Oryctolagus cuniculus: one gene and its partner. The protein of the gene in region 1 purifies or fractionates together with the protein of each later gene. This does not show direct contact. Links are inferred from orthologs where the notes say so. Each region holds a gene or a part of one and is shown in the gene's direction. Other genes may lie near its edges.

The links.
Region 2: the proteins of JUP (region 1) and DSG2 purify together in Homo sapiens (affinity purification with western blotting; 3 studies listed by BioGRID and IntAct, with this or other methods). This does not show direct contact. The link is inferred for Oryctolagus cuniculus from reciprocal best matches to the Homo sapiens genes JUP and DSG2.

Annotation. Positions count from the first base shown.
Region 1 is NC_091448.1:20,926,519-20,930,849, forward strand, and holds the start of JUP (junction plakoglobin), read left to right. Parts: upstream 1-1,497; 5' UTR 1,498-1,655; exon of another isoform or gene 1,656-1,740; intron 1,741-4,331. UniProt on the Homo sapiens protein: Common junctional plaque protein. The membrane-associated plaques are architectural elements in an important strategic position to influence the arrangement and function of both the cytoskeleton and the cells within the tissue.
Region 2 is NC_091441.1:46,117,804-46,121,611, reverse strand, and holds part of DSG2 (desmoglein-2), read left to right. Parts: intron 1-860; coding exon 861-1,196; intron 1,197-3,808.

The DNA of each region.
Region 1 (4,331 bases):
CAGCCATCACTCCTTCCCTTGCTGAGGACGGTGGTCAAGGGGCCACTGGGGTACCTCCCCCCAGCCCGTGCTGTGTGCTGGCTTCGGCTGGCTGCGAAGCATGTTGGAGGGGTGGACTCTCTATACGCGACCACTCCCCCAAGACACACAAGCTACAGACACTTGACACAGAGTCTCTGTGAGCTCTCCACCAGGGTCTAAGCCAGTGCCCAGCATACAATTGGTGCTCAATACTTGCACTGAACGAGTGGACATCTGTGAGACTCTTGGCACAGTGTACGTCATGAGCAGCACTCATTTCCTCAGGCACTGTAAGGGTATACCCTTGTCACCTTACACTGCCCATGGGAAGTTCTTTCTGATATCCAACCCAGGCTCTTGGACCACAGAGAGCCCTGCTGCCCCACTCCCTTGATGCCCCAACTCCTCTTCCTTTACGGCCACTGCCTGATTCTGTCTACACCTGCCCAAGCTCCCTATGCCAATGCTCTGTCCTTGGACCAAATAACCGCCCTTCCATCACTCCCCAGAGTGTTTGCTTTGCCGTGTCCCTGGTCCTTCCCCGCTGCTTTGATGTCAGTACCCACTCCTCCAGGAGGAGCAAACCGAGGTTCGGTGGGACTTGAAATCAGAGAAAAGGGGCTCCGGCTCAAGGCAAGTCGTTTCCTAGTGATTTCTCCGATCTTTAAAATGAGGATTGTTTGGTTGTCCTGGCAATTTTTCGGAACTGTCAGCAGCATTTTAAAAATCATATCATCGATTTAAATCCCGACACTTAGCAGTTGTCCAAGGGCCTTACCTCATCCAGCTCTTGGCCCTCTCGTGAATGTGCCCATCTTACAGATGAGGACAGACAAGGTGAAAGGTGAAGCGACCTGCCACCAACAAATGGCAGAACTCAAACCCAGGCCTTCTAGTCCTAAATTTCAGGAACTCTCTATCCTCTGCGGGGGGGAAAAATCCCAACCCAGCACAAAGCCTATGAAATGCTACACAACTATGTGATTACTACCTTGGCGCAAGGATGAATAAGCCCAAAGAAACATCATGCCTGACGCTAAGTGGGCTGGCCGGCGAAGGCGTCTGTCCTTTCCCACGGCGCCCCCTGACTCACCTGTTGGACAGGTAGGGGGAAGGGGAGAGTAATGAGTCTTACCTGCTCAAAGCTAGGGTGGGGCAAGACACACCCCATCCCTTCCATTGGTCCTTTCCTTAATCTTACTGACAGCCCCTCGTCCAATCAGGAGGAAGTAACTTTCTATCCGCCAATAGGTGCAGAGTTAATATGGTGCCTCAAGTGGGGGCCCATCCCTAGAGCCAACTGGCAGTCCCTTGGGCCAATGGCGATCGGATAAACAGAGGCGGCCGTGGAAGAGGACTGGGCGCGAGGCTCCGCCCCTCTCTGGGACAGTCAGGCGCCGCAACCAGTGAGCTCGCAGCAGCGGGTGGGCGTCTCCCTAGGGGGTGGAGCTTCGAGGGGGCGAGAGGCGTGGCTTGGCTGTCAGGTCCCTTCGCCTTTTGTTCGGTTACTGAGTTGCTGCCTTGGCCAGAGTCCGGAGCAGCCGCCGCCCGAGCGCGCCGAGCTCAGTTTGCTGCCCACGCCGGCTTCCACCCCGGCCCGACCCCGACCCAGCCCGGCCAGGCTCCACACGCAGGTGCGGACGATCGGGGCCAGGTATCGTTGGGGAGAGGAAAGGGGCGGCGAGCGGTCGAGAGACCAGTCCCAGCCGTTCCGGGCAGGTGAGGGCCGGTGCCAGGGAGCGCCACCCTGCACCGGCGGCAGGGGGCGCGCTGCGGTCCTGGGCACGGCGACTCAGGGGACGCGCGGTGGGGGCCAAGCGCACCTCGGGCCTCGATGAGCCCGAGACCCGAGAAGGGCTGGGAGGGGCCGGGACAGGTGCCTCTAGGGTCGCGCCTCCCCCGGAGTCCGCGGAGCTAGCTCGATGCCGCGTCCCTGACTCGCCCTGGGCTGGCTGGGGAGACTTTGACCTGCTCCGCCCGCGTCCTAGGGCTCACTCTGCTATTGGGAATTTACGGTTTAGTAAACTTGCTGCCACTGGTCTCTTTGGGGCCACCCTCACCCCACCCACGCGTCATCCTCGCCTTCCCTCACTCCCTCCCTATTCCCCCAGGCCTGGGTGGGGCCCTATTGTCTGCGCCCGGCTTGCCCAACTGTGGGGGCCAAGCAGGCATTTTCCCAGAGACGCGAGCCCCACCTGCCCAGCAGGTGAGCGCTCGGAGCCGCAGGCCCTGCCTGGCAGCTCGCGGAGCTCCGTCGGCGCAGTACCTGCGGCGCCCCCCTCCGCTCCAGTTCGCGCTGGGTTGGGGCTCTTCCAGCGGAAGTGGGATGGGGTGGCCGTGGGGCTGGGGCAGAGCCCTGGTCAGTGCTCAGTGGGTGTCCGGCGCCTGTGGCTCGGACTGGGGCTTGCGGGTAGGGGTCTGTGCCTAGGTAAGGGCTTCGGGGTCACCTGGCCCGGCTCTCTGTCGCTGTGGCTCCCACAGTGTCGATGTGGGAACGGAGCTACCTTTCTCTACCTTCCTGTTGAAAAATCACCCGAACAAACTTTCCTGGAGGAAGTGTTCGCGGTTGCTTTCTCTGGGGGCTTTCCTGCTTCCTTGGGGCAGGGCGCCCTCCCCGCGCCGGCCCAGTGCCTGCGCCCTGACCTGCCTCCCCCGCCCCCACCCCCATCCTGTTTGCTGGGCCCCTGGGGCCCGAGGTGGGGGCCGGGGTGGGGGGTGGGCTGAGAAGGGAAGCAGCTTCTTCCTTCTCTTCCTGCCTCCGGGGACCACCACACCCCCTCGGATGAGGCCTGCGCTGGTGGCTCTCTCCCAAGCTCTGCCCCCTCCCCAGGAATGGGGGTGGGGCAGGACTGGGCCAAACTGCGGAAGGTGGGGGAGTGGTGATTCTTGTCTGTTTCCCCTCCTCTACCGAGTCCTGTGCGACTTCCCTGGCGGGAGCTGAGGCCCGGACTGGCTCTCCCTTTGATTTCCCAGTTTTTGGAGCTTCTGCAGACCCTCGCCTCCCCACCCCCTTTCCCGGGAGAGTTTGGTGGGGGAGGGGGAGGCGGGAGCAAGGCTTTCTGGGGTGCTTTGCTTCAATGCTAGGCTCCCTCACACATGCCTTGGGGCCCCACCCGACCTGCCCCCCCCAATTTCCCGAGCGCTCCTCCTGCCCGGCATGGGATCTCTACCAGGCTGTCTTCCCTGGTTTTTAAGAATTCAAGTGTGGTCTTTTTTGGGGGATTTGGAGCCCAGCCTCCTGAGGGGGAGGGGAGGCCAGACCCACCTCCCTGGTGTGTCCAGGGCAGAATCTGGCTGCTCCTTGGGGTGAGGGAGCCTGAGGAGGGGACCGAAGCCCTGTTCTGCTGTGTGGTGTGTGCCGGCGCACCTCTAGGAAGCCATGGAGTTGGGGCCCAAATTGCCTGTTTTCCCTCCTCTCTGCGCTAAGGTGGAGGAGGGGAAGGCATTGTAATTACGTTGGCTAAATGATTAGTTTAGCTAATCTGGTTTGTGGCTGTGATGAAAAGATAATAGCAAGGAAGTATTGCTAGGAGGTGCCTGGTGAAAACTGGCTCCTGGCTGGGCAGTCTGGGGCGGGGTGGGGGGGAGGTAGGACCCGATTAGTCATTTCTGGCCAGACCAAACCCCATCTTGGGTGACAGGAGCCCCCCCCCCCCCCAGCTCCTCCCCATTCCCTGTGGAACCTCTGTTTGGGCTGCCAGGGCTGAGCTGGGAGAATGCAGCATGTAGGAGCCCAGTAGGTCAGGCGAGGGCTAGCAGCCTGCCACCTTTCCTGGACGCCCACGGGTGGGTCCCGTGGGCAGCAGTTGCCTTGGAGTGTGCTGGGTCTGGTGGCCGGTGGGCTTCTAGAAGGGCCGGGGGAGAGGCACTGATTTCCATCGCAGCTCTGTGTTGCGTGGTCAAAGCCCTTCACCTCTTTGAGCCTCAGTATTCCATTGGCAAAATGGGAAGAATCTTCCCAGCTCCCCAGCAAGGGCTTGATGGGTGCTCACCTAAGATCAAGGGGAGACCTGGGGGGGTCCGCACACAGCCTCCGTGACTGTCCCCACCTCATCTGTCCGGCTCTCCTCCCAAGCAGCTGTTGTTGTCTGCTATCCACAGAGGAGATGGAAACAGGGCGGTTAAAGCACTTGCCCAAGGTCGCACAGTGAGACCCCTACGAAGCCAGCGCCTACACTTGGGTCCTGGGGCTCCAAGCCCAGAGCTCACCCCGCAGCTCTGGAATGATTTTTTTCTGCTGTCCCCTTTGGAGAGCCTCTGCCTGACCGAGAAGAGCATTCAGAAGGCCCAGTGAGGTGTGTGTGGGTGGA
Region 2 (3,808 bases), on another chromosome or scaffold:
CAGTCTTTCACAACCAGGAACTCCTCCATTTCTCCATTTCCATTGCTGCAAGGTGGGGTCAGCAGGGGTAACTCTACACCCTCCGCAATAACAGTAAAATGTTGCAAAATCGCATTGCTAACTACTTAATGGCCATCTCCCCTGGTCTCTCTGTTGCATCACCTGGTTCTCATCCCCATCTGCCAGGAGCATCAGAGAACTCAGGTGTCAGGTGTCAGGTGTCAGAGAACTCAGAATAACAGTGGTGTAAGCGTAAACGCGGCCGTCCGGGTTCACCACGAGGATTCCCCCACAGCGATGCCTCAGTCTGCTCCTGTCTTGTTGCTCTTCGTTGAATGAGTTCTGTTCCCACCCGTGTTCCAGACCTCACTACTCTTCCTGCATTCCAGCCCTCGGATGGGAGAGAAATGAAGAACTGCCCAGCACACTTCCCAGGAGCTGCATGCACCATTTCTGTGTGACTCACGTTGGCCAAGGGGCCGTCCCTAACCAAGTAGCTACAGTAGAGGCTTGGAAATGCGGTCTTTATCTTGGGTGACCTTGTTTCCAGAGGCAGACAAAATTAAGTGCTCTGTAGTCCTGGGAGAAGGCATGAAACCATGGAGGGAAGTTGAAGTGCAGTTGTTGCCAATACTGCAAGTAAGCTAAGACTGTACAGGAAAGTGTGGCTTTTAGTTTCTCCTTGGCTTATAATCAGCCATGAAAACAGGAAGGTAAAAGGAAGATTTTCCTTAGACCAAAACAGAAGTTATGCAACCCAAAATATTTTTTCCTAATTTGCCTGTATGGACAAAGCACAGACCCTTCTTGCAGCCATGGTGACCTTCTGACACAATTCTCGACTGTATTTGCTCTCACAGGTGGTGCCGTCGCTTCTGGCAGTGGACCACGGGGAGAACCTCGCAGCGAGAAACGGAGTAGGCAGTATGAGCACCAAGGAAGCCACCATGAAAGGGAGCAGCTCTGCTTCCTTCACCAAAGGGCAGCATGAGATGTCTGAGGTGGACACCAGGTGGGATGAGCACCGCAGCCTTCTCTCTGCCGGGGCCACGCAGGTGATGGGGCCGGCAGGAGCCGGGCTGGGCACTGAAACCATGAAGACCGTCAGAGCCACGGGGGCTTCCAGGGACGCGGTTGGAGCACGAGCGGCTGCAGCTGGGCTGAACGAGGAATTCCTACGAAGCTATTTCACCGATGTAAGCATTGGTTTTTACGGCTGGGGAGGAAGCAATGCATTCGTATATGAATGCAGTAGGGTAATCACTACCTTGTGTCTAAATTGGATGTTGGAGGTTTTCTGGGTTTTGGGTTTTGTTTTGTTTGTTTGTTTGTTTGTTTGTTTTGCGGGGGATGGGGGTATGCTTACAGGCAGTGGACAGAAAGAGATGTAACCCATTGAATGAGCCCGTATTAGCTACGTTATTCTGTGATAACAAATAGCCCACAGTTTCAGCTCTCACAAAGGCTCATTTCTCTCTTCCATTTGTGTTTTGGCCACTTGGCTCAGCCCTGCCCCACCCTGCTCCAAAGCGCACGCTGAGAGTGCAGGGTTACGTCCGTGCCCGGGAAGCTGCTGTCATCCCAGGAGAAGAGCCATGACAGGGCTGGGCAGTGGCCCTTAAGGCCTCTGCCTTTTACACACTCAGTGTTTCATTGGCCAAAGCAAGTCATATGACCAAGTTAAATGTCAGCGGGTCAGAACGCACGATCCCCCTGAGGAGTATGCTCTTTAGGGATGAGCCCAGTAGGGAAGAGCAGAGAATGTATAACCACACACACAGTCGATTCAGTCCATTTACATGTCACCTCCTGTATCAGGGACTTGCTACATTACTTGATACATTAGTAGTTCCACTACTAATGGGATATTTACACAAAAAATGATGAGAAAAGTTGCAGGAGACATAATCAGATGCAGGCAGAAGCTCATGCCTGGAATTCGGAATTAGAATCAAGGCTAAAGATAAAAGCGTTACCTAGAGACAAACTACATTTCAGAACAGGGATTACTACCAGGAATTATTGAAATACTTATTTTATAATGGAAAATGAGTCAGTTCATCAGAAGGTCTGATATACCTAAATATGTCAGGATAATAACAGAAATTCAAAACCTTGAAGCAACAACTGATAGAACTAAGAAATAGACAAATGCGTAATTGTATTTGGAAAGTTCAGCCTCTTTTGTCAGTAATTGAAAGATTGAGTAGACAGAAAATCAGTAAGGATACAGAAAATATAACAATATTGACTGATTCTAATTGGCATTGGTTGAAAATTCTATGCAACAAAAACAGAGTACACTTTCTTTGTGGCATAGACAATGTACTAGGACATAAAATAAGCTTAAATAAGATGAAAAGAACCACAGTCATGCAATGTTCTTTGACAAAAAGAAATTAAACCACAGATGAATAGCAAAGAAACACATAAAATATATTTTGCAAATATTTGTAAATTATACATTTTTAAATAACCTGTGGATAAAAGAGAAAATAACAGAAGCAATTAGAAAACATTTTTTTTAAAGATTTATTCTATGTATTTGAAAGGAAAAACTATAAAGAGAGAGAAGGAAAGAGAAAAGAAGAGACAGAGATCTTCCATCCTTGATTCACTCCCCATATGGCTTTTGGGCCAGGCCAAAGCTAGAAGCCAGGAGCTTCTTCTGGGTTTCCCACATGGATGCAGGCCCAAGCACTTGGGCCATTCTCTGCTGCTTTCCCAGGTGCATTAGCAAGGAGCTGGATCAAAAGCAGAGCAGCCAGGACTTGGAACAGTATCCAATGTGGGATACTGGCACTGCAGGCAGAGACTTAACCTTCTATACCACAGTGCCAACCCCAATTAGAAAACATTTTAAACCATTGAAGATTAAACTGCGTTTTATTTTCCAAATTTGTGAGTCATTGCTGAAGCAGAGCTTTAAGCAACGTTTATAGCAGAAATGACAGTGCTTATTCTAGAAGATGGGTCTCGCATCAGTGACCTAAGCAAAGTTACACAAAGAAAAACAAATCAGACCCAAAGCAAGCAGATAAAATTTAATAATGAATTTTAGAGCAGAAATCAATGAAATATCAAAAGGGGGGGGATGCAGTTAAACAAAAAGGACTATTTAAAGAGATCAATAAAATTAGTAAGGCACTTAACTAGTTTAATTAGTATATGAAGAAAGTAAACACATTATCAATATCAGAAATAAGGTAAAGAACACTGCTACAGATCCTACCGACATTATAATAATTTTTTAAAGATTTATTTATTTATTTGAAAGGCAGAGTTACAGAGAGGGAGAAAGATCTTTCATCCACTGTTTCACTCTCCAGATGGCCACAACAGCCAGGGACAGGCCAGGGACAGGCCACATGGGTGGCAGGACCATAAGGAGTTAGGCCATCTTTGCTGTTTCCCAAGTGAATTGGCAGGGAACTGGATGGGAAGTGAAGCAGCTGGGACTCAAACCAGCACCCATGTGGGATGCCGGCCGGCATTGTAGTGACCAGCTCAACCCGCTATGCCACAGAGTGGCCCCAGTTGTTTTTTTTTTTTTTTTTTTTTAAGCAGTACTGGCTGCCTTTCTGCAGCTATTTCTGTCCCCTCGCCTAGATTTGCAAGTTGCTGGAGTGCTTTCCCACACTGCTCCTTTCCACCCTGCTGTGTTTCATCCCCTCCTCTCTGCCAGCTGCAAGTTCCCTTGACCTGGATGGTGGGCAGTGTCAAGGCAAACCGCTTCTTGTCCCTTCGTTGTCTCAGTGCTAAGCTGCAGTCTTGTGCCCTTTTTGCTTCATTTTTATGCTTTTTCCCT